Stegostoma tigrinum: one gene and its partners. The protein of the gene in region 1 interacts with the protein of each later gene in a pairwise test. Links are inferred from orthologs where the notes say so. Each region holds a gene or a part of one and is shown in the gene's direction. Other genes may lie near its edges.

What was found.
Region 2: the proteins of cep70 (region 1) and cwf19l2 interact in binary tests that used the Homo sapiens proteins (3 or more experiments, as listed by UniProt). The link is inferred for Stegostoma tigrinum from reciprocal best matches to the Homo sapiens genes CEP70 and CWF19L2.
Region 3: the proteins of cep70 (region 1) and protein PIMREG-like interact in binary tests that used the Homo sapiens proteins (3 or more experiments, as listed by UniProt). The two-hybrid records come from large-scale screens. The link is inferred for Stegostoma tigrinum from reciprocal best matches to the Homo sapiens genes CEP70 and PIMREG.
Region 4: the proteins of cep70 (region 1) and enkd1 interact in binary tests that used the Homo sapiens proteins (3 or more experiments, as listed by UniProt). The link is inferred for Stegostoma tigrinum from reciprocal best matches to the Homo sapiens genes CEP70 and ENKD1.

What each region holds. Positions count from the first base shown.
Region 1 is NC_081360.1:66,673,218-66,680,737, forward strand, and holds the start of cep70 (centrosomal protein of 70 kDa), read left to right. Parts: upstream 1-4,098; 5' UTR 4,099-4,443; intron 4,444-4,609; exon of another isoform or gene 4,610-4,735; intron 4,736-7,520.
Region 2 is NC_081359.1:69,860,666-69,868,456, reverse strand, and holds the start of cwf19l2 (CWF19-like protein 2), read left to right. Parts: upstream 1-4,540; 5' UTR 4,541-4,546; coding exon 4,547-4,639; intron 4,640-7,791.
Region 3 is NC_081380.1:25,349,437-25,356,665, reverse strand, and holds the start of protein PIMREG-like, read left to right. Parts: upstream 1-3,970; 5' UTR 3,971-4,030; coding exon 4,031-4,288; intron 4,289-7,229. UniProt on the Homo sapiens protein: During mitosis, may play a role in the control of metaphase-to-anaphase transition.
Region 4 is NC_081393.1:16,154,855-16,163,229, forward strand, and holds the start of enkd1 (enkurin domain-containing protein 1), read left to right. Parts: upstream 1-5,136; 5' UTR 5,137-5,184; intron 5,185-7,697; 5' UTR 7,698-7,706; coding exon 7,707-7,791; intron 7,792-8,375. UniProt on the Homo sapiens protein: Microtubule-binding protein which regulates microtubule organization and stability. Promotes the stability of astral microtubules and facilitates the proper orientation of the mitotic spindle.

The sequences.
Region 1 (7,520 bases):
GACCTAGGTAAAATCTAGGGACTCAGGTTTGAATCTCACCACAGCGGATGGTGAAATTTGAATTCAATCCAATTTCTGGACCACAAAACCAATGGTATAAAAACCTGTAGGATTGACAAATATCTAGACAAGGAAAATAGCCTCTGTGTGAGTCTAGACCCATAGCAATATGGATGACTTTTAACTGCCTTCCTAAATGGCATATCAAGCCATTCAGTTGCATCAATAACAACTTCAGTTGTATAAATTGCTAGAAAGCCAAGCTAGTTGGACCACCTAGAATTTAGTACCTGAAATTACAATGGTAAATGCAGCCCTGTTGACTCTGCAATATCCTACTTACTAACACCAGGAGGTTTGTGCCAAAATCAGGAGAGGGTTTCACAGACCAATGAAACAAAAGCCTGACAAAGACATTCACAAGGAATCACACCTTACACATATTTCAGAGAACATTAGCACCCCTGGGTATAGACTGGCAAGACAGATGCATAGTGTAGTGTGATGGTAACACAATCAGCACAAAACATCCTGCTGATTACCAACTATGATCTCCCCCTGCCTCCTTCCAAGCAGATGAATCAGTACACTTTTGTGTACAACACCACTTGCAGAAAGTAATGAGGATGGTTATGGCGAAGAATGTTCTGTGGGTTTGGGACTTCAATGTCTACCAAGAATTGCTCAGCAGTATTACTACTGATGAAACTGACAAAGTCCTCAAGAACACGGCTGGATCTGCTGCAGGTGGTGAGGGAATCAAGAGGGAAAAACACCGCTAACCTCACCCTCATCAAGCTGACTGTGGCAAATACATCTGTTTATGACAGTATCGGTATGAGCGACCACGGTATGGTGGTCTTCTGTGAAGACGAAGTTCCATTTCAAATTGAATAAACCTTGCACTGTTCTGTGTAACACAATCACCACGTGAAATGGGATAGATCAGATAGATCTAGCACGTCAAGACTGGGTATTCATGAGGTGCTGTCGGGCATTCGAACTAACAGAATTGTATTCCAATCTATGGCCATAAGACCAGGAGTCTGAGAGCAGAAATAGGTTATTCAGCCATTTAATTTTGCTGCATCATTCAATGAAATCATGGCTCATCTTGTAATCCTTAACTCCATCACCTAAACTTTTCACCATAATCCAGGAATGCCTTATTAATGAAAAATCTATCCATCTCAGCCTTGAACATACTTGATGACCCAGTTCTACAGTCCTCTGCAGTAAAGAATCCTGCAGATTCATAGAGTCAAACAGCATGGAAACAAACCCAGCAGTCCAATTAGGCAATGCCAATCATATTCCAAAACTAAATTAGTCCTAGTGCCTGCATTTGGCCCACATCCATCCAAAACTTTCCAATTCATATACTGATCTCATCTCAAAGTCCCTACAGTGTGGAAACAGGTCCTTTGGCCTAACAAGTCCACACCAACCCTCAGAGCATCCGACCCAGACCTATCCTTATAACCCACCTAATCTACACATCTCTGAACACGACGGGCAATTTAGCACAGCCAATCCACCTAGCTTGCACGTCTTTTGACTGTGGGAGGAAACCAGAGCACCCGGGGGAAACCCACTCAGACACTGCTAGAATGTGCAAACTCGACACAGACAGTCACCCGAGGGTGGAAGTGAACCTAGGTCCCTGGTGCTGTGAGGCAGCAGTGCTAACAACTGAGCCATCATGCCAACCTGTAAAGAGGGTTGTGGTGGGGTCTGGAAGGTTGGTTGAGGACTTATCCAAATGTTTTTTAAACACTGTAACTGTACCTGCATTCACCATTTCCTTTAACAGTTCATTCCACACACAAACCACTGTGTGTAAAAAAAAATTGCCCCTCGCCATTCTAAAACTTTCCCCTCACACCTTAAAAATATGCCCCCTAGTTTTGAATTCACCCACCTTAGTGAAAAGACCTTTGCTATACACATTTTCTTTGAGTCTAATGATTTTATAAACCTCTACAAGGTCACCCCTCAACCTCCTATGCTCTTGTGAAAGAAGTCCCAGCATATTTCTATAACTGAAACCCCCTCATTCCAAGCAATATCTTGCTAAATATTTTCCGAACCCTCTCCAATTTGATAAAATCCTTCCTAACCAGAACTTTAAGGATAGACTGTTAACCTGCTTTTGTTTGTGATAATAGTCCTACACAATCTACTAACACTCAACTAAATCGTTCTTTAAAAAAAAACAGCTTGGCTATCAATGCTGCTGGTTTGATTTCATGGTGAGGTTTTTCTACCATCTGATACATATGAAATCTTGACCATGTAAATTATCTATGTTTCAATGCCTGTGTTTTCTGTATTCCTATATGCCCTGTCATAGGAACTCCATGTGCATTTTTTTCTTATGATATCTGGGCAGATATTTGATGAACAACCATTCAGACTTTGTCATCAAAACTTTGCTTGTAGTACATAAACAGTCTAGAACTCCGGCAGCCTCAATGTTAGCTTTCTGTGTTAACTCACTTCACTCTGGATTTGCTCTGCAAGCCTCTAATAATGAAAAAATGCCAAACACTTCTTTTGAATTATCTTAAGAACATTCTTAAGTACAGTTTCAGCTACCTTGGCATCTGCTGTGGTATTACTGTGGTCCAGCGATAGATTTTCTGTGGCTATTGCTCTGGTTGCTAATCAGTAAAGCAAAGGAACAACACCTACTCCTGCATCTCTGGTCATATAATAAGCCACTTGCTTTGGAAGAAGTATTCGTTCACAATTAAAGAAATTTTAGTTTAAAATAAACACTAAATCATGGGACACTTTTGAGTGAAAGGTGGGAGGTCTGGAGGAGACTTGGGGAAATTTTTATTTTGCGCGGAGGGCAGAGGATCTGGAGTGCGCTGCCTAGAAGGCTGGCTGAGGTGATTAAACTCCCATTCTTAAAAAAAAACTTAGATGAACACTTGAAGTGACATTGGTGGTTAAAATTGTTTCTAAGATAGTAGGGACTGCAGATGCTGGAGAATTCTGAAGAAGGGTCTAGGCCTGAAACGTCAGCCTTCCTGCTCCTCTGATGCTGCTTGGCCAGCTGTGTTCATCCAGCTCTACACCTTGTTATCTCTGATATTGGTAGTTATTTACTTCATTTGCTTTACTCGTTAAGATGCCGTCCTAAACACTGATTACAATCATGAGTATATTTTATTCTAGCCTATGAAACGGTTGGTAAATACTGACTGAATATATTTGCTTTAAACGCCTTCAACTAGTTGGACCACCTGGAATTTAGTAAGTTCAGCGATAAACAATGACTTGTTACTTCATTAAAATGTCAGGAGACAGCCATGTGTGATCTGCTCTAAAAAAAATACTAAATAGAAACCAGAAGAACTGCCGATGCTGTATGTCAGGAACAAAAACAAAGTGGTTGGAAAAGCTTAGCAGGTCTAGCAACATCTGTGAAGGAAATAAAAAAACAGAATTAGCGTTTCGGGTCCGGTGACCCTTCCTCAGAACAGAATCTACTTTTTTGATGAAGGGTCTAGGCCCGAAACGTCAGCTCTTGTGCTCCTAATGTGCTGGTTGACCTGCTGTGCTCATCCAGCTCCACACTTTTGTTATCTACATTAATCCCAGTTTACAGCACTAATGACTTCGATAAGGGACTTAAAAATTAACTCTAAAATAGGAAGGTAAAGTTTAATCTTAGACTGAGCAGGAATCACAATGTTTCTAAAGGAAAATTTAAAGGCCACCTGTTATTTATTAGCTCTGAGCTCCTCCGCGTCTGGCCAACACCGACCGTAACTATGGCAACTCGCAGCCACAACCTTCCTCGCGACAGCGGCCGTGTTCTTCACATAGATATCCAAGGAAAACCCCGGATCGCTGCCTGATTTGCATCTGACACCTTCAGCAGTAAACACAGCCGTCAGGATAGTCGTGCACACAAAATACACATTTTCCCCTAACTCCCTCCACTGCTGCGCAGACCAGATCTCGCGAAAACACTCACCTCTCTCCCGCTCCAACGGGAAGAATCCCCGTTCGCGTTCCCTAATCCGATTGGCTAATCCGATTGGTTCATTGCATGTGATTTCATTGGCTAACTCCCACCGATCCGATTTGTTTATTCATCCTCTGATGAAGGGTCCAGGCCCGAAACGTCAGCTTTTGCGCTCCTGGGATGCTGCTTGGCCTGCTGTGTTCATCCAGCTTCACACTTTATTATCTTAGATTCTCCAGCATCTGCAGTTCCCATTATCTCCGATTTGTTTATTTCCTGCTTTCTGATTGGTTTTTTCTCTGTATGTAACCTGAGTGGCTAATTTGTACTTGAGGGTGCGGTTACCTTGCGCGTCGACGTTCAGGGGGTTGGCTCTGCCCATGGGAGCGTATCATCTTGAGGGAAAGGGAGAAGCTGATAAAGGCGATTGAAATTATTGACGATGATAAAGAAGCTAAGCAGTAAGTATGTGTGTTTTGGAAACGGTTTGAATTTGTTTGTGGTAATATTGGAAAAGTTGTAGTAAACCTTTTTTTGAAAAAAAAAACGATGTTGATAATATGGAATAACTGTAATTTGCTCCCCCCCCCCGTATCGCTTTGTGGTGGGGTCTCCCCTCCCGCCGAATGTCCGGCTGTTGAACAGCTCGGCCTGTGGAGGGTGGGTTAACGGCGGTTGCGTATTAGAAAGAAGAGACCGGAGGGAGGCGTTCATTCATTTTTGAAACTGTAGATACAGTAAGGTGGAGAATTGGTATGTATTAAGCGACGATATTGGCCGAAATATTATTCTGCTAGTGGTTTGAAGTAGTAATTGAGGTACAGTCATTGATTCAATATTTCGATATTCACACAGCTTTCACTCAGGTTGTTTGATCCAGCTGAACGTTGCCAGCATTTTCTGTTACTATTTCTGAGTATGTACACTCTTACTTGCTCTCCGTTGATAACTGCAACGAACCGTTTCTCCTACTTATCATTTACAGATTTTTCAGTCTGCAGATCCGACAACTCATGTCATCTCTGCTTTGTGGCTGTGGCCTGTCTGTGAATAAGATATGCATATATTTGCTATTTTAAAAATGACATGTACTTCATAGAATATGAAAAAGTGTTTGATCATGTTTATCGCCCAAAAAAAGGTAATAGACATGTTGCTGAAATATGATCAGAGATAATGGGAACTGCAGATGCTGGAGAATCCGAGATAACAAAGTGTGGAGCTGGATGAACACAGCAGGCCAAGCAGTATCTCAGGAGCACAAAAGCTGTCGTTTTGGGCCTAGACCCTTCATCAGAGCGGGTCTGATGAAGGGTCTAGGTCTGAAATGTCAGCTTTTGTGATCCTGAAATGCTGCTTGGCCTGCTGTGTTCATCCCGCTACACGCTTTGTTATCTTGCTGAAATGTGATATTGATAATGAAGATAAGAATCCAAAGTCTGGAGAGGTTCTAAGTAGTGAACACTGGCCTACAAAGAAGCAATGAAATGCATTTTGAGTAAAAGGAAAAGTGTTGTAAACCACATTATTGTTCAATTTATTTACAGAACAAGTGTTTAGGATTAATCAGAAGCAATAACTAATCTTGTGTGCTGATGAGCACATTGCTGCTTGCAGAACTGGATGTGGGCTAACAAAATATCAAGTAAAATCTATAAATTCAGAATATTCATTGTGTGTATACCAAAAAGGCAATAGAATGATTGTTTAAAAATGAGTACATTGAAAGAAACCAGAATGAAATGAATGTTGTTACCTGAAATAATTACTTAAATTGGCTACTTAGGACAAACGAAGACAGAAGATGACAGATGCAGTGCAGAGGTTAGAAAAATGATTGAGATAGTTAGAAATGCTTGTTGTGAAGATGGAGACTGTGATGACCAGAAAACTGAAGTTTGTAACAAGGCAAAAACTGAAGATATCACATTTTGTGTTGCTTTGTATCTGAACAGGAGTTCACGTACAATAGGAATCTGTGCTTAAAAAAGGGGAAGAGCATCCAACAGAGGCTCGTTGTTCTCTTATATGTCCCTGACTTTTTTAAAACAAAGTGTGGAGCTGGATGAACACTGCAGGTCAAGCAGCATCTCAGGAGCACAAAAGCTGACGTTTCGGGCCTAGACCCTTCATCAGACCCCCTCTGATGAAGGGTCTAGGCCCAAAACGACAGCTTTTGTGCTCCTGAGATGCTGCTTGGCCTGCTGTGTTCATCCAGCTCCACACTTTGTTACCTTGGATTCTCCAGCATCTGCAGTTCCCATTATCTCAGGGACATGTAAGAGACCAACTTTCCCTTCCTACTGGTAGCATATTAAAGGAAAGTGAGCTCTTGTGGGAGTGGCCGCTTTGGAGAAGGGCTGTGAGCTTGAGTTCAACGTGTGGGCTTTTGTAATGAGGGCAAGTAACATTAAGATGCAGCAAGGTCAAGTCTTTCCTTTTTCCTTTTTAATCTAGTAATTTCCAGAGGGGTAGTAATGGAAGTTGGAGTGGTATGCACCCCCTGAGAGATCTGGGAGAGGTCATGTATCCCTGACAACTGTGTCCACCTTGCAGCTCCTCTTGAACTTTGTGGATGGGTTGGAGCAGTAGTTGGACTCATTGCGAAGTATACTGGAGGCAGAAAGTTTTATAGCTATAAGTTTTGGGATATGGCCAAAACAAAGGTTCAGTCACTGATGTGTTTGCCAGGAGGGGCAGGCAGGAATTGTACGAATCCACTGTAGCTATTCATCTGTCAAAGAAGTATATTAGTTTGGATATTAGTGGGTTGTGGGGAGGGAAGATATGGGCTCTTTCAGGATAGCAACTGCAGCAGTTAGGACAGTGGCACCATGATTGACTCTGTTGTACAACAGGGAGGATCGAAGTTTAGGTGAGTGGTTGTAATAGGAGACTCTGTAGTCTCGTTCACAGATGTTTCTCTGGCCATGAGCAAGGCTTCTGGATGATATGTTGCCTCTCTGGTGCAAGGTTTGAGAATGGCTCTAAGTGGGCACATAACATTCTGAAACGGAAGGGTGAGCAGTCAGAGATCATGGTCCATATTGGTACCAACGGCAGAAGCAGGAAGAGAGATGAGGTCCTGCAAAGAAAGTTTAAGGAATAAGATAGAAAAACGAAGAGCAGGACTTCTAGCATTGTAATCTCTGGACTACACCCTGTACCATTTGCTAGTGAGGCCAGAAGTTTTGAAAGATAATGTGGTTGAATGCGTGGCTGAGGAGCTGGTGTAGGAAGGAGGGCATCAGTGTTCTGCATCGTTGGGATCTCTTTCAGCGCAGGAGAGATGGATACAAGAAGGACCTGTTGCCCCTAAACTAGAGGGGTACCAATATTCTTGCGGGGAAGTTCGCAAGTGCCACTCGTGAGGGTTTAAGCTAGTGCTGCAAGGAATTGGGAATCAGTGCAGTGTAAGTCACTTGAATAGGAAGAGCAGGCCTGACAAGGTTATTGAACTAGATCAGAGTGGCAGCCTGAAGTGTACTTATTTCAAGGAGCATAATAGTTAAGGCAGATGAACTTGGAGAACTGGATT
Region 2 (7,791 bases), on another chromosome or scaffold:
CAGTGATGGAGGAAACTATTGAAAGCAATTCGGAGGGACAGAATTAATCTGTACTTGGACGGATGAAGGTTAATCAAGAACCGTCAGTATGGTTTTGTCAAGGAGATGCCATTTGTGACCAATATGATTGAAAAATTCAGAGGTGACCAGCTGTGTAGAAGAGGGCAATGCATTCTAATGCAGCCAATTTGGAATGGCAAGGCTTTTGACAAAGTTGCAAATGAGAGACCGATCGTGAAGGTAAGAACCCATGGCATCCAAAGAAATTTGGCAAGTTGGTTTCAGGATTGGTTTAGTGATAGGAAGGAGAGGGTGGTGGTTGAGGGCTGTGTTTGAGACTGGAAGTCTGTTTCCAGTGGGGTGAATGGGCTAACCTTAGGTTATAGGAGGATATAGACAGGCTGATTGGTGGCAAATGTAATCCAATCTGGATAAGTTTGAAGTGATGCACCTGGACATGATGAATGGTAGTACCCTGGGAAGTACCAAGGATCGGGGCACCCTGCAGAGCATGTACAGTGGTAGCAGGACAAGTAGCTAGAGTGGTTGAGAAGGCAGATGGGATTATGCCATTATTAGAATTTTTTGATGTGTACTCAAGTAAAACATACAGTGAAAAGTGTACAAAGTCACCCTTCTCCAGTGGCATCTTGGTTACAAAACCAGAATTTAAAAAGAAAACATTGGCAGAAATAAAAGAATGTTAAAAATTTAAATCTTATCTCCATACAAGTGTTTGGATCCACTTGGACCCACCTGGGCCTAGCTACTGCCTGGAATTTTGGTCAGCTTGTGAACCTTGCATCATTCACCAGAAGGAGTCATGTCTTTGCAGCTCCTCCCAGTGATCAGAGGAAGCAATCACTACCTCCTGCTGCCAACTCAGACCACCAGGAGGCTGCTGCAATTCTGCGTGAGTCCTGCTGCCATGCCAGTATTGCCAATTAAACTGCAGCAGAAGCCTCAACAAGAGAATGCACAAATAATTGTCACAATCCCGTCACTCGTGTAGCCTACTGTCTATATCTGGAACAACTTTGTGCATTCTGGAATATTAGCATACTCCAAACCTCAGAAAAGTAAGGGTTTTGTAACTCCCTGTTTGATCGTGATGAGATCCCATGGGCTGGATAGGTCAAAGTGTGACCCAAAGGAACAAGTGTAAGCATCACCCTGTACGTCACAGAGAGATCCGACATCAGACAAGGCATGAACGTTAAGAGGGGGGAGGTTAGCTGAAACTATATAAAGCATAAAGCCATAGCTAGAGTATTGTGTGCAGTTCTAGAGTACACATTATGAGGGATATGATTGTATTGTAGAGTGTGCAGGGGAGGTTTAACAAAACGTTGCCTAGGAGGAAAAGTCTGAGTAATGAGGACAGGCTGGGTTTATTTTCCTTGGAGCAGAGGAGGCTGAGGGCATTGCGGTTCTGATTCAGATATGCAAAATATAAAACACACAGTAGATAGGTTTTTCTAAGGATGGCAAATTCCCTAGTGTCTTTTGTCAGTTAGCTACTGGCAACTAGGGTGTGATCATAATAGTTGCAAACCCAGTCACAACATGACACAAAGGTGGCAGTTACCAATTAGCTGTTGGTCGTGTGTTTTTAGGTATGCCTGAACAGCTCTCTGTTGGACAGTCTCTGCACACCATAACAGGGGAAGAAACTCGAAATAATGCTGTAAATCCTCATTCCAAACCTGGCAGGAAAATTTTATTCAACAGGTGTACAGAATGTTGGAAAGCCTTTCTCTCCACATCTCTGTACAGATGCTGCTGGTCCTGATGAGTTTATGCAGTAATATTTTGTTTCAGGGTTTTTCTTAGAGTCTACTTGTCAGGGGCTCTGTACGGTCCTGATGTGCACCTCCTAGCTATGCTTCAGAAGCAACTACCTGCCAATTTTTAAGAGATAATGGGAACTGCAGATGCTGGAGATTCCAAGATAATCAAGTGTGAAGCTGGATGAACACAGCAAACCAAGCAGCATCTCAGGAGCATAAAAGCTGACATTTTGGGCCTAGACCCTTCGTCGGAGAGGGTTTTGGAATAAATAGGGAGAGAGGGGGAGGTGGACCAAAGATGGAGAGAAAAGAAAATAGGTGGAGAGGAGAGTATAGGTGGGGAGGTAGGGAGGGGATAGGTCAGTCCAGGGAAGACGGACAGGTCAAGGAGGTGGGATGCGGTTAGTAGGTAGGAAATGGAGGTGCGGCTCGAGGTGGGAGGAAGGGATGGGTGAGAAGAAGAACTTCCAATTCCCTGGCCCCCAACACCTCATTTTCACCATGGACATCCAGTCCCTATACACCTGCATTCCTCATGCAGATGGCCTCAAGGCCCTCCGCTTCTTCCTGTCCCACAGGCCCGACCAGTCCCCTCCACCGACACCCTCATCCGCCTAGCCGAACTCGTCCTCACCCTCAACAACTTCTCTTTCGATTCCTCCCACTTCCTACAAAGGGGGTGGCCATTGGTACCTGCATGGGCCCAAGCTATGTCTGCCTCTTTGTAGGTTACGTGGAACAGTCCCTCTTCCGCACCTACACAGGCCCCAAACCCCACCTCTTTCCTCTGTTACATTGATGACTGTATCGGCGCCGCCTCTTGTTCCCCAGAGGAACTCGAACAGTTCATCCACTTCACCAACACCTTCCACCCCAACCTCAAGTTCAACTGGGCCATCTCCAACACATCCCTCACCTTCCTGGACCCCTCAGTCTCCATCTCAGGTAACCAGCTAGAAACTGATGTCCATTTCAAGCCCACTGACTCCCACAGCTACCTAGAATACACCTCCTCCCACCCACCTTCCTCCAAAAATTCCATCCCCTATTCCCAATTCCTCCGCATCTGCTCCCAGGATGAGACATGCCACTCCCGCACATCCCAGATGTACAAGTTCTTCAAGGACCGCAACTTTCCCCCCATAGTGATCGAGAATGCCCTTGACGGCGTCTCCCGCAACACATCCCTCACACCCCGCCCCCGCCACAACCACCCCAAGAGGATCCCCCTCGTTCTCACACACCACCCCACCAACCTCCGGATACAACGCATCATCCTCCGACACTTCTGCCATCTACAATCCAACCCCACCACCCAAGACATTTTTCCACCCCCACCCTTGTCTGCTTTCCGGAGAGAACACTCTCTCTCTGACTCCCTTGTTTGCTCCACACTCCCCTCCAACCCCACCAAACCCGGCACCTTCCCCTGCAACCGCAGGAAGTGCTACACTTGCCCCCTCACCCCCTCCCTCACCCCCATCCGAGGCCCCAAGATAACTTTCCACATTCAGCAGAGGTTCACCTGCACATCTGCCAATGTGGTATACTGCATCCACTGTACCCGGTGCGGCTTCCTCTACATTGGGGAAACCAAGCGGAGGCTTGGGGACCGCTTTGCAGAACACCTCCGCTCAGTTCGCAATAAACAACTGCCCCTCCCAGTCGCGAACCATTTTAACTCCCCCTCCCATTCTTTCGACGACATGTCCATCATGGGCCTCCTGCAGTGCCACAAGGATGCCACCCGAAGGTTGCAGGAACAGCAACTCATATTCCGCTTGGGAAGCCTGCAGCCCAATGGTATCAATGTGGACTTCACCAGCTTCAAAATCTCCCCTTCCCCAACTGCATCCCAAAACTAGCCCAGTTTGTCCCCTCCCCCCACTGCATCACACAACCAGCCCAGCTCATCCCCTTCCTCCACTGCATCCCAGAACCAGCCCAGCCTGTCTCTGCCTCCCTAACCTGTTCTTCCTCTCACCCATCCCTTCCTCCGACCTCAAGCCGCACCTCCATCTCCTACCTACTAACCTCATCCCACCTCCTTGACCTGTCTGTCTTCCCTGGACTGACCTATCCCCTCCCCACCTACACTCTCCTTTCCACCTATCTTCTTTTCTCTCCATCTTCAGTCCGCCTCTCCTTCTCTCCCTATTTATTCCAGAACCCTCTCCCCATCCCCCTCTCTGATGAAGGGTCTAGGCCCGAAACGTCAGCTTTTGTGCTCCTGAGATGCTGCTTGGCCTGCTGTGTTCATCCAGCTCCACACTTTGTTATCTGCCAATTTTTAAGTTTTGCTTATTATTCCTCAGTTGACACTAAACTGTAGATTTTAAAATCTGACAAAATTTGACTTTTCTTTTGCACTAGCATATATTTTGATACTAGAAATGAACGTTTATATCCAATTAAAACCGAAAGAACTGAGGATGCTGTAAATCAGAAACAAAAACATAAGTTGCTGGAAAAGGTCAGCAGGTCTGGCAATATTTGTGAAGGAAAAAAAATCAGTGTTAACGTTTCGGGTTCAGTGGCCTTTCCTCAGAACGCTCTGACTATTTTTCACAGATGCTGCCAGACCTGCTGAGCTTTTCCAATAACTTCTGTTTTTGTTTATATCTAATTCTCGTATAAACAACTGAAAAGGAGAAGAAAGCAACAATTCTTCCAAGTGTGCGCGCGCAGCTTCCGGGACACCGGCGAATCTTCACGACGGCTGTCGTAAAAGTTCTTGTTGCTAAGGTAAAGGCAAGATGGCGGAATACGGAGGCAGGTTTGAAAGTGCGAAAGCAATCGAGGAACGAAGAGAATTTAAACGAAAAGCGAGAGAGGAAATTGTGACCAAGGTATTGTCTCAGTTCTGTCTATTTGTTTGCATCAGCCGTGACCAGGACGCAGACGATCTAACACTTTTAACCGAGCCCCCTCCCCATCACCCATAGTAAACACAGCGAGAGGCCAAATAGCTTACGGCGTTGTTGACAGCCCGAGGAATGTCAACTTCGCAAGGGTTGGGTGAATTCACTTATAAAGTTAACCTTTACTGTTTGTATTTAATTAGTTTATTCGTGTCAATTAAAAAGTGCTGGGGTGTCCTTATTTTTAGTTTATAGATATGGCTTGGATGAAGGGATTGAAGATATAGCTGCTAAATTTAAAAATAATTAGTAATGCAAGTTGTAAAGTGCTCGTAAGGAGGCTGCCAAATGTTGTAGACTCCAATGAATGGGCAAGGATCTGGCAAACGGAGTATAACGTGCGGAAATACAAAATTGTCGATTTTGGCAGGAAGAATAAAAAAGCATATTGTCTAAGCAGTAAGAGATTGCTGAACTCTTAGGTTTGGAGGGATCTAAGCGTCCAAGTGCATGAGTTGCAAAATATTATTGAGCGGGTGCAACAACTAAGTAGGATAACAAGAAAATGTTATTATTTATTGTTAGGGGAATTGAATATAAACGTTGGTAGATTATACTTCAGTTATGTGGAGCATTGGTGAGTATACATTTGGAGTCCTTTGTACAGTATTAGTTTCCTTTTTAAGGAAGGAGGTAAAAGCACCCTTGCTAAACTCATATCTGGAATGGACAAATTGTCTTCTGAGGAAATATTGGGACAGGCTAGGCTTGATTTTGCAGGAGTTAGAAGAGTAAGATGCACTTGGTTGAAATATTCAGGATCCTGAGGGTCTTGACAGATTGCAGGTGAAAAGGTTGTTTCTTCTTTGTAAGCAAAGTGACTCATAGATCTAACTATCTTAAAAATAAGGGGTCACCTATTTTGGGCAGATAAGATTTTTTTGCGGGTTATGAGTTTTTGGATCCCAAAATGTTGTGGAAGCAGAGCCCTTGAATATTTTTAAGGTAAAGGTAGACAAGTTCTTGGTGAACAAGTGGGTGAAAGGCTGTTGTGTGTAGACAGGAATGTGGAGTGATCCAATCTGCCATGATTTTATTGAATGGAATCTAGGATTGAGGGGCTTAAAGGCTTACTGTTGCCTCAGTTCATATGTTTACATATCCCTCACAGCCCTTGACTCCCTTGTCTATCAAGAATCTGTCTAACTCTACCTTGAACATAGTGACCCCACTGCTCTGTGGAAGGGAATTTCAAAGATTAAGAATCCTCAGAGAAGATTTGCTGCTCATCTCTGTCACAAATGGATGACATCTAATTTTGAACGTACTTGTTTGAATTCTAAATTCTCATGTGAGCGCAAAAGAAAATCCTCTTAACATCTGCCCTGTTAAGCTCCCTCAGAATCATTGTGCTTTTCTGAACTGCTTGTAATGCAGGTATATCTTACCTTGTGTAAGGGAACAAAACTATAGAGTATTTCAGGTGTGAACTTCTCAGTGCCCTAATTCTAACCTTCATTCCCTTTCCAACAAAGGCCCACCCTCTACACGCCATCCTATGTACTTGATGATTTGGAGGCGAGGTGGTGAATGGCCTGCTCCTAATTTTGCATGTTCTCATGTGCATATCTTCAGCAGGAAAAATATTATAGGAGGAAAGGAAAACTGAAGTAAAATCTAAATATTTTGTACTTTGGCCCTTTTTAAGTAAAGCTGTTTTCTGTGCATTCCTCGCATTCGCGATGAAATAAATTGTTATGTGAGTTGGTGAAGCATAGTGGCAAGATATTGCAGCACTTGATCAAGATTTCAGCCTTGTTAATTCATCTGAATTCAAGTCAGAAGTTAAAATTGGTAGCTTTTTGTAAAAAAAATTAGTATTTTACAACAATATACACGTATTCGTAGAAACAGGAAATGGTTATAGCACCAAAGGAGACCATTTGCCTTCCTAAGTCTGCACAGGAAAGATCACCTAGCTCAATTCCCTTGCTCTTTTTTCTTTAACACTGCAAATCATTTATTGTCAGTTGTTTATCTAGTTTCATTTTGAAAGGCCTAATCTGTTTGGCTGCACAACACACTAAGGCAGTTCATTTTAGATCCTAATATTCGCCTTTATGTAAGAAAACTATATGCTCCAGGAGATGGTGCCAGTTAATCAAAAATGCCTGTAAAGGAGGTGTTATATTTATAGATAGAACACCATGCAATTTGACAAGTGGAAGCTTTTAATGGTGTGCTCATGAGAGTTTAGAGGAACTCTGTTCCTATTAGAGTGGAGGGCAAAGCTGATAAGAGTAGGGGTCAATGGATGAATAAAGATATTGAGGTTCTGGTTAAGAATAAGAGTCGTACATTAGATATGGGCAGCTGGGATCTAATGAATGCCTTGAAGAGTATAAAGAGTGTAGAGTCATTCTTGAGAGGGAAATCAGGAGGGCAAAAAGAGAAGGGGCCATGGGAACTGCAGATGCTGGGGAATCTGAGATAACAAGGAGTAGAGCTGGATGAATACAGCAGGCCAAGCAGCATCAGAGGTGCAGGAAGGCTGAAGAAGGGTATAGGCCCAAAATGTCAGCCTTGCTGCTTCTCTGATGCTGCTTGGTCTGCTGTGTTCATCCAGCTCTACACCTTGTTATCTCGGGCAAAAAGATCATATGTGATAGCCTAGGCAGATAAGTTTAAGGATAATCTGAAGAGAGTCTGCAAGTATGTTAACAGCAAAAGCTAGGGAGTGAATCAAGCCCCATAATGATCAATAAAGCTATCTATATGTTGAACCTCAGGAGATGGAAGAGATACTGAATGAAGATTTCGCAATAGTTCTTACTATTGAGAAAGGAATGGAGGCTAGAGAATTTGGGAAATAAATAGTGATGTTTTGAAAAAAATTCACATTACAGAAGAGGAAGTGCTGGGGCCTTAGAAAATACAAATGTGGATAAATCTCCAGGACCTAATCATCTGTATCCCAGCATCTTGTGGGACGTTAGGGAAGAAATTGCAGGATCCCTAGCGGAGATATTTGTTTCATCTATAACTATGGATGCGGTGCCAGAGGCCAGGAGGGAGGCTAATGTTGTGCCTTAATTTAAGAAAGGCTATAAATAGAAGTCTGAGAACTATAGACCTGTGAG
Region 3 (7,229 bases), on another chromosome or scaffold:
GGTGACATTGGGAAAATCTGTCATACTGTATGTATACGGGCTTATCAAATGTTTTGTGCAAATGGAAACAGTTTTAGAAGCATCATTTCTGATACAGTTGTTATTAAAAGAGATTTGCACAAATAATTGATCACAGAAACACAAACGGATTACAGCAGGGGGCCATTCAGCCCACTGTGTCTGAGCTGGCTCTTCAAATGAGCAATGCATCCAGTGCCACTGCTACACTTTCTTCTCATAGTCTTGCACTTTCTTCCTTTTTAGGTGATGACCCAATTCCTTCTCAAATGCTGCAATTGAACTTGCATCCACCATATTCTCTGGCAGGGCATTCCATATTCTAACAACTCGCAGTTTGACAACGTTTCTCCCCCTGTCACGTGTGCTTGATTTGTTCATTATTTCAAATCTGCTCTCTCTCATTCTTGACTCTTCCACCAGCAGAAACAGTTTACTCACTATCGATTTGATCCAGACGACTCATGATTTTGAATACCTATAACAAATCGCCTGTCAACATTCTCCAAGTAAAACAAGCTCAACATTTCCAATCTATCTACTAAAATGAAATTCTGCATTCATGAAACCAAGCGGAGGTGTTCTGCAAAGCGGTCCCCAAGCCTCTCTTTGGCTTCCCCAATGTAGAGGAAGCCACAACGGGTACAGCGGATGCAGTATACCACATTGGCAGGTGTGCTTGATGTGGAAAGTCATCTTGGGGCCTGCGATGTGGGTGAGGGAGGAGGTGTGGGGGCAAGTGTAGCACTTCCTGTGGTTGCAGGGGTAAGTGCCAGGTGTGGTTGGGTTGGAGGGGAGTGTGGAGTGAACAAGGGAGTCACAGAGAGAGTGGTCTTTCCGGAAAGCAGACAAGGGTGGGGATGGAAAAATGTCTTTGGTGGTGGGGTCGGATTGTAGATGGCGGAAGTGTCAGAGGATGATGCATTGTATCCGGAGGTTGGTGGTATGTGAGGACGAGGGGGATTCTATTTTGGTGGTTATTGCAGGGGCGGGTGGGCGGGATGAGTTGTGGAAATGCGGGAGACATGGTCAAGGGTGTTCTCAACCACTGTGGGGGGGATGTTTCAGTCCTTGAAAAACGAGGACATCTGAGATGTACAGGAGTGGAATGCCTCACCCTGGGAGCAGATGCGGTGGAGGTGAAGGAATTGGGAATAGGAGATGGAATTTTTGCAGGAAGTTGGGTGGGAGGAGGTGTATTCTAGGTAGCTGTGGGAGTCGGTGGGCTTGAAATGGATATCTGTTTCTAGGTGGTTGCCTGAGATGGAGACAGAGAGGTCCAGGAAGATGAGGGATGTGTTGGAGATGGCCCAGGTGAACTTGAGGTTGGGATGGAAGGTGTAGGTGAAGTGGATGAAATGTTCAAGCTCCTCTTGGGAGCATGAGGCAGCGCCAAAGCAGTCATCGATATAACAGAGGAAGACTTGGGGCTTAGGGCCAGTGTAGGTGCAGAAGAGGGACTGTTTCACGTAACCTACAAAGAGACAGGCATAGCTTGGGCCCGTGTGGGTACTCATGGCCACCCGCTTTGTCTGTAGGAAGTTGGAGGAATCGAAAGAGAAGTTGTTGAGGGTGAGGACAAGTTTGGCTAGGCGGATTAGAGTGTCGGTGGAGGGGATCTGGTCGGGCCTGCCGGACAGGAAGAAGTGGAGGGCCTTTAGGCCATCTGCAAGGGGAATGCAGGTGTATAGGGACTGGATGTCCATGGTAAAAATGAGGTGTTGGGGACTGGGGAATTGGAAGTTCTGGAGGAGCTGGAGGGCTTGGGTGGCTTCTGTTCATATTCACTTTGTGCACTCTCCCCAAACACAGATCATCCCATTGTTTCTGTGCTATCTCAGCAGCTCTGACAGTATCTGTGGAAAGAAATTTCATATCCAGTAACACTTCATCAGATCTGCTGAGTTTCTCCAGCAATTTCTGATTTTGTTTGTTTCAGATCTCCAGCATGTGCTTTGTATTATTCTCTCCCACTTCTGCTCACTTTAATTCAATGTGTATGCAGGGGAATGCTAAGCAACAGGTATCCATTTTAATGTCTAGGGTTTTACAGCAGAGTTGGCATAGTTTCATTGCAGAAATGACCATATCCTACGATGTAACATTCTCTGAGGCAATATTTGGTTTAGGGTTTTATATGGGCCAGGGAATGCAGAATTTCTGCATACTTCTACAGGGCCAGTGGGTTTTGGTGAATAGTGAATCCCAGGGTCTGGCCATAACAAAAAGAGGTGTTGCTGTGGTGTAGCAAGTTGTGGACACTGCCAACCTCCCAGGTCCTGTAAGCTTCTGATGTTCTGACAGCAGCACTGGTGTGAAGGTTTGGCGGAGTCAGTGGTGAGCTAGAGAGATGAAGTATCCATTTCCTTTCATGTCGGGAATTCTGGAGGTGTGTATATTCCTCACAGCAGCGGCACAATAGAAAGCTATATATTTGCAAGGCCAGATTTGCAGTTTAAGAGAATGACAGACGATCAGCTAATAGGCATCTCAGCTGCCCAGCAATAACCCTGTCTCCAATTCCTGAACTCTGCTGGAAAACACAACTAATTCAATCCCAACCTTCATATCGGCATTGTTAACTTTTCAGTGATACTCTCAGATATGGGTGGCACTTTTATCTCACAGAGCCAGGGAGGTTCAATTCCAGCCTCAGGTAACTGTCCATGTGGATTTTGCATTTACTCCCTGTTTCTGCAGAATGTGCCTGTTTCCGCCCTCAGTCCAAAGATGTGCAGGTTAGATTGACTGGTCATACTGAACTGCCCTGGAATGTGCAAGCTAAGTGTGGAAAGCAAGGGTATATGCAGGGCTACAGGAATAGGGTAGGGGCTTGGGTCTGGGCTGGATTCTTTTCAGAGAGTCGGTGCAGCAAAGATGGGCCGAATGGCTTCTTCCCGCATGGTACAGAATCGAGCTTTTTACCACAGCACACATCCTCGGGCCCTGTAAGATTTCATTTAATAGTTCCCATTTGTGTCGCCTTTCTATGACTCTAAGGTCGGTCGTGGTGGAGGGAAGATTTAACTGTACAAATGCCCTGCTTACCTGTTTTCAGTGAAGAATTAAGAGCGTGTAACGGAAAACAATGTGCAAATCCCCCCTTCCCCAACCCAAGGATAACAAACATCTTAGAGACACTCGGTTCGAAGCGTGGGACGACCAGTTAAACGATCGCTTGGAAAGGATTCTCCCTATTTCTTCCAAGTTATTAACAACCTGCGTTCAAATCGTATCAATATTCATGTTTAAAGCTCGGTGTTTTGCAATAACTTGCGAAGATAAATCTGGGTCTATAAAATATGGAGCTGGAGGTGCAGAGCAAGTCAGATAACGGGACCAGGAAAGCTGATGTTTCGGGTCTTTCTGAAGAAGGGTCTAGGCCCGAAACATCAGCTTTCCTGCTCCTCTGATGCTGCTTGACCTGCTGCGTTGATCCAGCTCTACACCTTGTTATCTCAGATTCTCCAGCATCGGCAGTTCCTACTAACTCTGGAGAAACTCAGCAGGTTTGGCAGCATCTGGGAAGTTAGAAAACAGAGTTAACGTTTCGAGTCCAGTGATCCCTCTTCAGAAATTGTCACTGGAACCGTTTTGCCTTTCTGTACGATTTGTTTCACTGGTTTTAAATGAGTGCAGCAGTGTTTTACTTTCTAATATTAAGAACTGTGGCAGCAGCCCATGTTTCGTGGTCTCACCAGAAGGCGCTGGGACGACGAGAATGAAAGGGTAATTTCCATCAGCTCCCGGGAAGAAATGGACACATTGCTGTTACTTGATCGGATCCTTTTTCCTGTTGGGAAACAAAGGCTTGGGAACAAAGTAGCCGGAGCCCGAGCAATCCCCTCCCAGTGACATAACCGACGGCCAATCAGCGCGGGCCTCAGTACGTCATCTTGTCAGTTTCACCAATCGGATCGCGGGAATTTCACTCCGCTACAAAGTTGCGCCAAATTCAAAAACAAGAAAGGGACAGACATTCAGGCGTTCGATCCCAACCACGGAGGTCGTAATGACAAGCTGGAGAAAGCACCATCAGATCCTGCAGGAAGAAGGCGATAGCCCGCCAGCCGATCTTTTCAGGGAGATGTCCTCGTCCAGCTCCCTCAACACTATCCGCATGTCCCTGAGGAAGAGGCTGCCTCTTGGGCAGGTGGACTTTAACATCGACCACACCCCGACTTGGGAGAGTCTGGAGCTCACCAAGAAACCTAATGCTTTACAAACTATAGGTCGGACTGCGAGGAACACATGGGGCAACGTCTCCCTGGTAACTTGTTTTTACTTACACTTGACACCATGGAGTGTAGCAGTGCCATTATTCCATTTAAAACGTCAAGGTTTCAAAAACTGACATTGCTTAAGAAAAATATGGACTCCAGTTTTATTTTAGTAGAAAAGTGTAAAAGTAATTTGGAAGCCAGCAGCATTGACTATTCAGACTATTCAGCTGGCAGACATTTCCCAGATAACGTACTGTGTGCCTGACCGCGGTGGACTGTAATATAACTTGTACGATAAATATACATGACTGGTTCCACTGACATGGGCTGATGTGGCAATTGGCTGCGTTCCTTACATTGCAGACAGTGTCACGTTAATTTTTGCTTACTTCTCCATAATGTCCTGATCAAAAGCTTATCTCCAAACCAACATCGCTTAAACAAATGATATGGTTTATACTTCAGAGATAATGGGAACTGCAGATGCTGGAGAGTTCCAAAATAACAAAATGTGAGGCTAGATGAACACAGCAGGCCAAGCAGCATCTCAGGAGCACAAAAGCTGACGTTTTGGGCCTAGACCCTTCATCAGAGAGGGGGATGGGGAGAGGGAACTGGAATAAATAGGGAGAGAGGGGGAGGCGGACCGAAGATGGAGAGTAAAGAAGATAGGTGGAGAGAGTATAGGTGGGGAGGTAGGGAGGGGATAGGTCAGTCCAGGGAAGACGGACAGGTCAAGGAGGTGGGATGAAGTTAGTAGGTAGCTGGGGGTGCGAGGAAGGGATGGGTGAGAGGAAGAACAGGTTAGGGAGGCAGAGACAGGTTGGACTGGTTTTGGGATGCAGTGGGTGGGGGGGAAGAGCTGGGCTGGTTGTGTGGTGCAGTGGGGGGAGGGGACGAACTGAGCTGGTTTAGGGATGCAGTAGGGGAAGGGGAGATTTTGAAACTGGTGAAGTCCACATTGATACCATATGGCTGCAGGGTTCCCAGGCGGAATATGAGTTGCTGTTCCTGCAACCTTCGGGTGGCATCCAATTCTTCCAATTCCCTGGCCCCCAACACCTCATATTCACCATGGACGTCCAGTCCCTGTACACCTGCATTCCGCATGGAGATGGCCTCAAGGCCCTTCGCTTCTTCCTGTCCCGCAGGCCCGACTAGTCCCCCTCCACCGACACTCTCATCCGCCTAGCTGAACTCGTCCTCAGACTCAACAACTTCTCTTTTGACTCCTCCCACTTCCTACAGACTAAGGGGGTGGCCATGGGCACCCGCATGGGCCCCAGCTATGCCTGCCTCTTTGTAGGTTACGTGGAACAGTCCCTCTTCCGCACCTACACAGGCCCTAAACCCCACCTCTTCCTCCGGCACATTGATGACTGTATCGGCACCGCCTCTTGCTCCCCAGAGGAGCTCGAACAGTTCATCCACTTCACCAACACCTTCCACCCCAACCTTCAGTTCACCTGGGCCATCTCCAGCACATCCCTCACCTTCCTAGAACTCTCAGTCTCCATCTCAGGCAACCAGCTTGTAACTGATGTCCATTTCAAGCCCACCGACTCCCACAGCTACCTAGAATACACCTCCTCCCACCCACCCTCCTGCAAAAATTCCATCCCCATTCCCAATTCCTCCACCTCCGCCGCATCTGCTCCCACGATAAGACATTCCACTCCCGCACATCCCAGATGTCCAAGTTCTTTAAGGACCGCAACTTGCCCCCCACAGTGATCGAGAACGCCCTTGACCGCATCTCCCGTATTTCCCGCAACACATCCCTCACACCCCGCCCCCGCCACAACCGCCCTAAGAGGATCCCCCTCGTTCTCACACACCACCCCACCAACCTCCGGATACAACGCATCATCCTCCGACACTTCCACCATCTACAATCTGACCCCACCACCCAAGACATTTTTCCATCCCCTCCCCTGTCTGCTTTCCGGAGAGACCACTCTCTCCGTGACTCCCTTGTTCGCTCCACACTGCCCTCCAACCCCACCACACCCGGCACCTTCCCCTGCAACCGCAGGAAATGCTACACTTGTCCCCACACCTCCTCCCTCACCCCTATCCCAGCCCCAAGATGACATTCCACATTAAGCAGAGGTTCACCTGCACATCTGCCAATGTGGTATACTGCATCCACTGTACCCGGTGCGGCTTCCTCTACATTGGGGAATCCAAGCGGAGGCTTGGGGACCGCTTTGCAGAACACCTCCGCTCAGTTCGCAACAAACAACTGCACCTCCCAGTCGCAAACCATTTCCACTCCCCCTCCCATTCTCTAGATGACATGTCCATCATGGGCCTCCTGCACTGCCACAATGATGTCACCCGAAGGTTGCAGGAACAGCAACTCATATTCCGCCTGGGAACCCTGCAGCCATATGGTATCAATGTGGACTTCACCAGTTTCAAAATCTCCCCTTCCCCTACTGCATCCCTAAACCAGCCCAGTTCGTCCCCTCCCCCCACTGCACCACACAACCAGCCCAGCTCTTCCCCCCCACCCACTGCATCCCAAAACCAGTCCAACCTGTCTCTGCCTCCCTAACCGGTTCTTCCTCTCACCCATCCCTTCCTCCCACCCCAAGCCGCACCCCCAGCTACCTACTAACCTCATCCCACCTCCTTGACCTGTCCGTCTTCCCTGGACTGACCTATCCCCTCCCTACCTCTCCACCTATCTTCTTTACTCTCCATCTTCGGTCCGCCTCCCCCTCTCTCCCTATTTATTTCAGAACCCTCACCCCATCCCCCTCTCTGATGAAGGGTCTAGGCCCGAAACGTCAGCTTTTGTGCTCCTGAGATGCTGCTTGGCCTGCTGTGTTCATCCAGCCTCACATTTTGTTATATGGTTTATACTTCATTGCTGTTTGTGAGATCCCTATAATCTTTGGGTCACCCTAAACTCTACAGCTCCCTGTCTTAACTAAGATCAAGTCCTGTTGTTGACCTACACTGACTCACAGTAAAACAGCT
Region 4 (8,375 bases), on another chromosome or scaffold:
ACCTATTGAACCTGCCTTATCCTGGCACAGTTCAACTTCTGCATAACATTGCACCATTCCCAGTTACATGCACCCATGCAATCTGATAGAAAGGCAAAATAGAACAAAAACCTCAGTCAAATGTGAAAGGGAGATGGCAGTATAGTGTTAATGTCCCATATTAATGTCAAAGGCATTGGTTCAAGCCCCACAGCTAGTTCACCCATATCCTTTATGAAGAGAAATCTGCTATCCTTACCTGAGATAACACGGTGTGAAGCTGGATGAACACAGCAGGCCAGGCAGCATCAGAGGAGCAGGAAAGCTTGACGTTTTGGTTCAGGACCCTTCTTCAGAAATGGGGGAGGGGAAGGGGATCTGAAATAAATAGGGAGACGGTGGAGGTGGATAGAAGATGGATAAAGGAGAAGATAGGGTGAGAGGAGACAGACGGGTCAAAGAGGCGGGGTTAGAGCGAGTGAAGGTGAATGTAGGTGGAGAGTTAGGAAGGGGATAGGTCAGTCCAGGGAGGATGGACAGGTCAGGAGAGCCGGATGAGGTTAGTGGGTAGGAGATGGGGGTGGGGCTTGAGGTGGGAGGAATAGTTAGGGAGTCTGGGACTAGCTGGGCTAGTTTTGGCATGTGGTCGGGGAAGGGGAGATTTTGAAGCTTGTGAAGTCCACATTGATACCCTTGGGCTGCAGGGTTCCCAAGCGAAATATGAGATGCTGTTCCTGCATCTTTCGGGTGGCGTCATTGTGGCAATGCAGGAGGCCCAGGATGGACATGTTGTCCGAGGAGTGGTGGGGGGAGGGGTGCGGAGGTGAAATGGTTCGCGACTGGGAGGTGTAGTTATTTGTTGCGAACTGAGCGTAGGTGTTCTGCAAAGCGGTCCCCAAGCCTCCGTTTGGTTTCCCTGATGTAGAGGAGGCCACAACTGGAACAGTGGATGCAGTATAGTACATTAACAGATGTGCAGGTGAACATCTGTTTGATGTGTAATCCTGTGTAATGATGGGGGTGAGGTATAGGGGCATTTGTAGCACTTGCTTTGGTTGCAGGGAAAAGTGCTAGGGGTAGTGGGGCTCGAGGGGAGTGTGGAGCGGACAAGGGAGTCACGGAGACAGTGGTCCCTCCGGAAAGCACATAAGGGTGGGGAGGGAAGAATGTCTTTGGTAGTGGGGTCAGATTGCAGTTGGCGGAAATATCGGAGGATGATGCGTTGGATTTGGAGGTTGGTGGGGTGGTACGTGAGAATGAGAGTGTTTCTATTTTGGTTATTATTGCGAATAGGGCGTGTGAGCAATGAGTTACGGCAAATGCAGGAGACATGGTCGAGAGCATTTTCGATCACTGTGGAGCGGAAGTTGTGGTTTTTGAAAAAAGAGGACATCTGGGATATTCGGGAGTGGAATGACTCGTCTCGGGAGCAGATGCGGCGGAGGCGAAGGAATTGGGAATACAGGATGGACTTTTTACAGGAAGGTGGGTGAGAGGAGGAATATTCTAGGTAGTTGTGGGAGTTGGTAGGCTTAAAATGGATAACAGTTTCCAGGTGGATGCCAGAGATGGAGACAGAGAGGTCCAGGAGGGAGAGAGAGGTGTCAGAGATAGTCCAGGTAAACTTAAGGTTGGGGTGGAAGGTGCTGGTGAAGTGGATGAACTGTTTGTGCTCCTCGTGGGAACACGAGGCGGTGCCAAAACAGTCGTCAATGTAACAAGGAAGAGATGGGGGATAGGGCCAGTGTAGCTTTGGAAGAGGGATTGTTCCATGTACCCTACAAAGAGGCAGGCATAGCTTGGGCCCATGCGGGTACCCATGGCCACCCCCTACCTGATATGTTTCACATAAACTCTGGACATGCTAACTTTTAACTAGCCAATAGCCTTGCAAGCTTTTCAGTTCAAGGGCACTCGGAATTATCAACAAAACAAGCTTTACTAACAAAGCCAACATCCTATGAAATGACATTTGAAAATTTCAGAGAAGCTGTGAAATTAAGAATGGTTCCAATTATCTGACAGGCTCAGAATTATGATCATTCTAACACCCGGATACTTGAAATCTCACAAAACAGCTAAAAGGATTATGGATTTAAATGCAAATAAAAGTCAAGCATGTTTAGAAATAAGAAAAAATTTGCTTTTCTAAAAAAAATTGAATATCGTTGATAAAGGGCACTAGAGAAAATTTTGGAGAGATTAGAAAAATGATTGAGTAAATCATGTGTTAATGGACTAGGAATAATTCAGTGTTAAGTTTGAAAGCTTGCAGATTTTAAAAGTGGCAGGAAAGTTTGGAGTGTTGTAGGCTTGCTGATGAGTAAAAGACCTGCTTTACTTCTGCTGTTAGCATCCTTGTGTCTCATCATGGATCTTTTACATTCAATACAGTGTTGTATGAATTCAGACTATCATTCTCCTTTATCATTGTGAATTTCTGTCTGTAATGTTCTGATGCATTGATGCCCAGGGTAAACGCATCATTCCTCTAATGTGAATGCATCTTCTGAATTATTGTTACTACCTCTCTGTTCTAAGGTGCTGCCTTCAGCATCAGTGCTGCTACAAGACACGAGTAGGAGAAGGTTGCAATCCAATGATCCATTACAGATGGAGCTGCATTGATGGGATCGTGGAGTGTCCTTCAAGTAAGCTTAACTGAATGAGATTTATGTATGTTCAGAACACTAACAAGGGGAAGTGTAGGGCCATAAATAAAGCAGATGCTAGGCACTTACAAATTCCTTAAATGAATGACACCTAACATTAGGGTTACTAGGGGAAGAGGGCAGTCTACAGCATATATTGTAGCTCCCCTGGAAGGAAAATGTCTATTCTGAGGAAAGAAAGAAAGAATTCTATTTCTTTACAATCTTCCAAAACTTCAGGAAGCCTTAAATGCTAATTTTTGAATTGTAGTCACCACTATAGTGTTGGGAAATATGGTGGCCAATTTGTGCACAGCAACCTCTTACGAACAACAATATGATAACTGACCAGATTTGCTATTAGTTGACGGATAAATGTTGGACTGTCACCAGGGAGAACACCCTGATTTCCCTCAGCATAGTACCATGAGATCTTTTACATGGGACCTTTCTCTGAGGGGGTAATGGTGCCTTGGTTGAATATCTCATCCGAATATTGGCACATTTGGTAATCCTGCACTTAAGGCAGTATAACATTTTATCAAAGCTGATAGTACTCTGACAGTGATAATGGGAACTGCAGATGCTGGAGAATCCAAGATAATAAATTGTGAGGCTGGATAAACACAGCAGGCCCAGCAGCATCACCTGCTGTGTTCATCCAGCCTCACAATTTATTATCTTGTACTCTGACAGTGCTCCCTCAGTACTAAATCTCTAGCAGTACAGTATTCTCCCATTGCGTCTCTAGCAATGCAGGGCTTCATGAGTAATGCCCTTCAGTACTGTGGCACAGGGAATGTCAGTGCGTCATTAATATTTTGGCAGAGAGTCTTTGATTCAACAGTTTATTTGAAAGGGTGGAGGAATGGGTTTCTTATTGATCATGTTTGGACCGCTATCATAGAAGTGCAAACAACATATTTGTATAGCACCATTGATTTGAAAATGACATGTCTCAATGTATCTGACAAAACTATTATTAAATAAAATGAGTCACCAAATCACACAAGGTGAAATTAGATTAGAGGAACAAAAGATTTGCTGAAGAATTTGTTTTTAAGGAGTGCCTAAAAGGAGGAGACTGAGTTAGAGTTGTGAAGAGGCAGTGGATGTGATCTTTCTTTGAAAAACAAAGGCTTGTTTAATTACAAAAAATACTGCACTGGAATCTGAAACTGTAAAGAATGAGTTTGTCTCACTTACAGTTTATTGTATTCATAACATAGTGTATGATCTTTTCTGTGTTGGAACCATGAAACTTCTCAATATGACCCTACCTATAATGCATTGCTGATCTGGGGGAAAATAGCTAATTTAGAAAATTAGCTATTTCTAGAACCTCTTTTTTTAACAAAAATATTTTTGTTGAATTCCACTCTCTGATGGCCATCTCTGAACAGTTTTTCCTTACCATTCAGGACCCAAGGCAAACTTGTGCCACATAGCCAGGTGCACATGTGACTACTATCTGGCCCTCTGTCTGCTCCCATTCCCAGTTTGGGAGAAGTACAAGAATCACCCATTGAAACATTGTTCCAAAGATATACAGTGTTTTTAACCACCTAAAGAGGAATGGAAACAAAAATAAAGACTTTCAGAATGTTAATTCTATTTCTGTGTGCAGTCTGTCATCTGCTAATCTGTCTGCGTGTTTGACATGACAATGAGGAGTTGTTAACGGATCAATTCAAAATGGAGAAGAACATAATGAATGAACAGCGTGTCTCCTACTCTGTCTAAGTCTGATGCGACCTTTTACAAACGATGTTTCTGTGTGACATGCTTCACAGTGTAAGGATCCAAGTGGGCACAGTGGTGGGGAAGTGAGCAGGTGAGATACATCAACTGGTAAAATAAATTAAGTGGTTAAAAAACGGTCAACCCATGGATGATGCACAGCCTGCCTTAGCATTGTCTTAACTCACGATCATTCAATAATATTATGAATGACTCCCTGACCTTACAATCTATTGTATAGCGCCTAGACAACTAGTCTTGCTTAGCCTCCATGATGAATATAACTTCTGAGTGTGATGAGAAATGAATAATTGGGCTTGGGAGTATTCTGCATTTTAAAAGCCTGCCGAAAATGCCTTTTTCCTCAGTCTCCAGGGTCAAGAAAGTGTCTGCCTTTGGAGAACATGAAGAATAACATGAGGTGAAACTAAAAGAGTGTCTGATGCATAGTGAGCATTTCCCTGTCACTCACGGTGAGACTCCATGAGTATTAATTATCCCTATAATACTGTACGCTGATATGCACAATGAAACTTGATACAACACCCTGATGTTGACACTAAAACCAAATACTATATGCTAATATTCCCAGTGAGATTCTGTATTAGATCACGAATATCCCATAGAAACTCAATGGATATGTCATGCATTTTGACAGTCAAAGACAGAAGTAGCCAATGTTACAAAGCATGAATTATGGCAGGACGACGTGAAGGACGCGGTTGCCGTGGTGACGGAGGTGACGCAATGACGTTGCGTATGCGTGTATTCAAAGTGGCGTACGCATGCCCGGGGACGGTTGGAAAGTTGGAAGGTGAGCCTGTGGCTGTTGCGCTTTTTGGTTGTATTCCCAGCTGCGGTGGTCCTGATTGTGAATCCTTAAGGGCTTACATTGGAGGTCTCTGACTGATGCCAGCCTGTATTCCGTTCCTCCCCAAGCAAATGGGAGTCCTAACCAGACTACTGCTGATTGCAACTTGTCTCGCCAGTGATACACTGGATTCTGACCATAGTAGGCTCTGCCCACACTGCAAAAGTGTTTTCCAGCCCAATAACTCCAGCATTGATTCCCACAAGGAACCAAGATGGGAACAGGTTTTAGTCCCAGCAATCAAACAGGGTTAGAAGAGTGGGTTGTTGAACTGTGTTGGCCAAGGCTCCTTATAAGGGTCAAATGACCCTTTAGCCTACCCATCGGTTCTACCTTAACCACTATGCTTACCACTGCAAAAACGCTCGTTAGAATTAATGGGAAGAATTAAACTGCTTCTGATGAGATGCTAATGAGTAGATATGCAGGACCATGCTAAATAGCTGCATTCCTCTTGTCATTTAGCCCCACAAATGTTGAAAATCCAATTTCTTGGTGACATAAATTGTACTTGTTGTGTGCACTTGTGACATTTTGTGTTATGTGCATGGGAGTGGTCTGGTTGCCTGATGTTGCATGAGTGATGGAGATGAAAGTTTAGCCTGTTGCCTTGTGTGACCCCATGCATTGTGTTGCATTTTCAACTAGTTGGTGGATGAAAGATCCTTGTGGACAACCACTGGTGTGGGGGCCATCCTTTGACAACCACTGTCCTGTAAGGGTTTTCTGAGAAGGAATGATATGATCAAATCACAGTAAACTTCAGTGTGGTGCAGATTATCTAGGCCTTTGGATTAGGCAAAGTCACTTTAGCAGGTAAAGAGTGGTATGTTGTTTAAAGTAGATTGGGAAATTACATAAATATATTAACACATAAGTAATGACAAATGTGTAAGAATTATTTTCTCCCAATGAATGTACAGTTCTTCAAGGAATAAAACACCACTGGAAAACACTCCCATTTATGGCACAATAATAAAGTTAATATAGTGCTGTCTTAGATTCAAAGAAGCAGCTTGCAATGTTACCAAAAAGGATGGTGTGAGCCAGAGGATTTTAAAAATCAGGAAAACCTGACCAAAAATGTGGTAGAGGATGAAAATAGAATGGGAGAAAGCCATCAAGGAAACAGCTTGTAAAAGCTTTTCTAAGAATGCTAGAAGAGATCAGTGGAAGTAAAATTGATGTAATTGAGGCAAAGACGGGAGAAATTACAATGAAAGTAACAATATGTTAAAGAAATATTTTCTGTACCTGACTTCATAATGGATGCCATAAGAGGAATAATCAAAATATTTGGAAACCTAAGGTTTAATTAGTGTAAAGAACTAAATTAGTTTAAAATAGTAAAGACATCATAGGGTTTAAAAAGAGGAGCTGCAAAATTATTAGAAGTGTTGGTTTTGATTTTCCAATATTATTAGATTTTAGCACTGGCCCTGTGGACTGGGGAGTAGCAAATATGACTCTGCTATTCAGGAAGGGAATGAGAGAGAAAACTTAAAATTAAAAGCAAATTAGGTGCGTTAGCTGTCTCTACAGATTATTCCACTGATGCTCTAGATCCAGAGACAAATCAAAAAAGGCAACTAACTCAAAGATTAAGAGTTAAGGAGAATCAAAGGATTTGAGTGTGATGTTCATGTGCACAGATCAAAACTAGTCAACAGGTTTTACAAGTAATCCAACAAGATTAATGAAATCTTTATCTAAAGTTAGCATAGTGAGGAACAGATCCTTTAGTTGTAAAGAGCTCACTCAAAGTATTGTATTCAGTTTTGGGCCCTGTGCCGCAGGTGAGATTTAAGCTATAAGACATGTCGAATTACCTAGAATTTACAGTGAAGTTTTTTTTTCAGGTTCACATTGACATTTCTACTCCACATGCCCTTCCTCCCACCTGTCACCCTAGCAGTGTGACTTCCTGTTCCTTTCTCCGTCATACATGCATCTGTCTTTCTCTGAAATATATCTATCCTATTCACCTTAATCATTTCATGCAATCTCAAATTTCACTTTTCTGAGCATAAATGTTTTTCTTGAATCTTTAATTGAATTTATATTAATAACAAGATGGTAGGTCCAATAACATTGCTACAGGGAATATATTATGTCTGCTGGGGAACCAAAAAGGGACGATCTTAAAATTATAGCATTTAGACAGGAAATCAGGATATATGGTTTTGTATGAAGCGTTGAATAAATCTTCAATTCTTTCTTCTAAAAGGTAACACTGGAGATCAATCAAGATTTTCAACACAGAAATTGGAATTTTCTTTTGTAAGCCAGGGTTTTTGAGTGCCAGGAAACAAACAGGAAAATGAATTGAGTCACAGATCAGACATGATCTAATTAAATGGTAGAACAGGCTTGAGGGACTAACTGGCTGCCTCCTATTCCTATGTTCCTCCTTTTTCACTTAAACTATTTAGACATAGCTGTTTCTGTATTGTTAGGTAACCAAGATGTCCGAGGGTCCCTCCAAGATATCTGGTCCCATTCCACCAGACCCAACACTATTCCCAGATTTCTACAAGCGTCCGCTGTCAGGTGAGGCTTTACCTGTTTTCCAGTGAAGTGCTTCCATCTTCCTTTTACGTTGTTGGTTGAATTTCCTATTCTCATCTGGGATGAAACAAAGTTGAAAGAAGTGTTTCTGCATGCAATGATCCTTGCGCTTTTGCTCATTCTGTGCACTGGAAATCTATGCGTGGATTAAGGAAGTCTGAAAGAACAAAATGAAGAAAAATGTCTTTACCTTGTTACTTCACAAGCAGAATTGTTGTGCAGACGCAGTATACTCCTAGAAACTTGGGAAAATAACAAGTTGGAATCTAACTGAAAGTTTCAAGGCTTGTTATATTTACAATAATTGGACATCCTATTAATACTAGGATGAAATTCAGTCGAGAATAGGCGCAAGTAATGGGTGACTGCAGATTCATATTCAGTAATTATTAGCCCAATATTGAATATTTCACAGTACCTCATTAATAGCAGATATGATATTTATTTGATTCTGATTTGTGCCTTTGTTTTGAGTTATTCCTAAAATTGATTTCACAGCTTGACTGGGAAAAGGTGATAACTGTTTTATCATTAATTATCCTGACCATGGTTTGTTGTACGGTGAG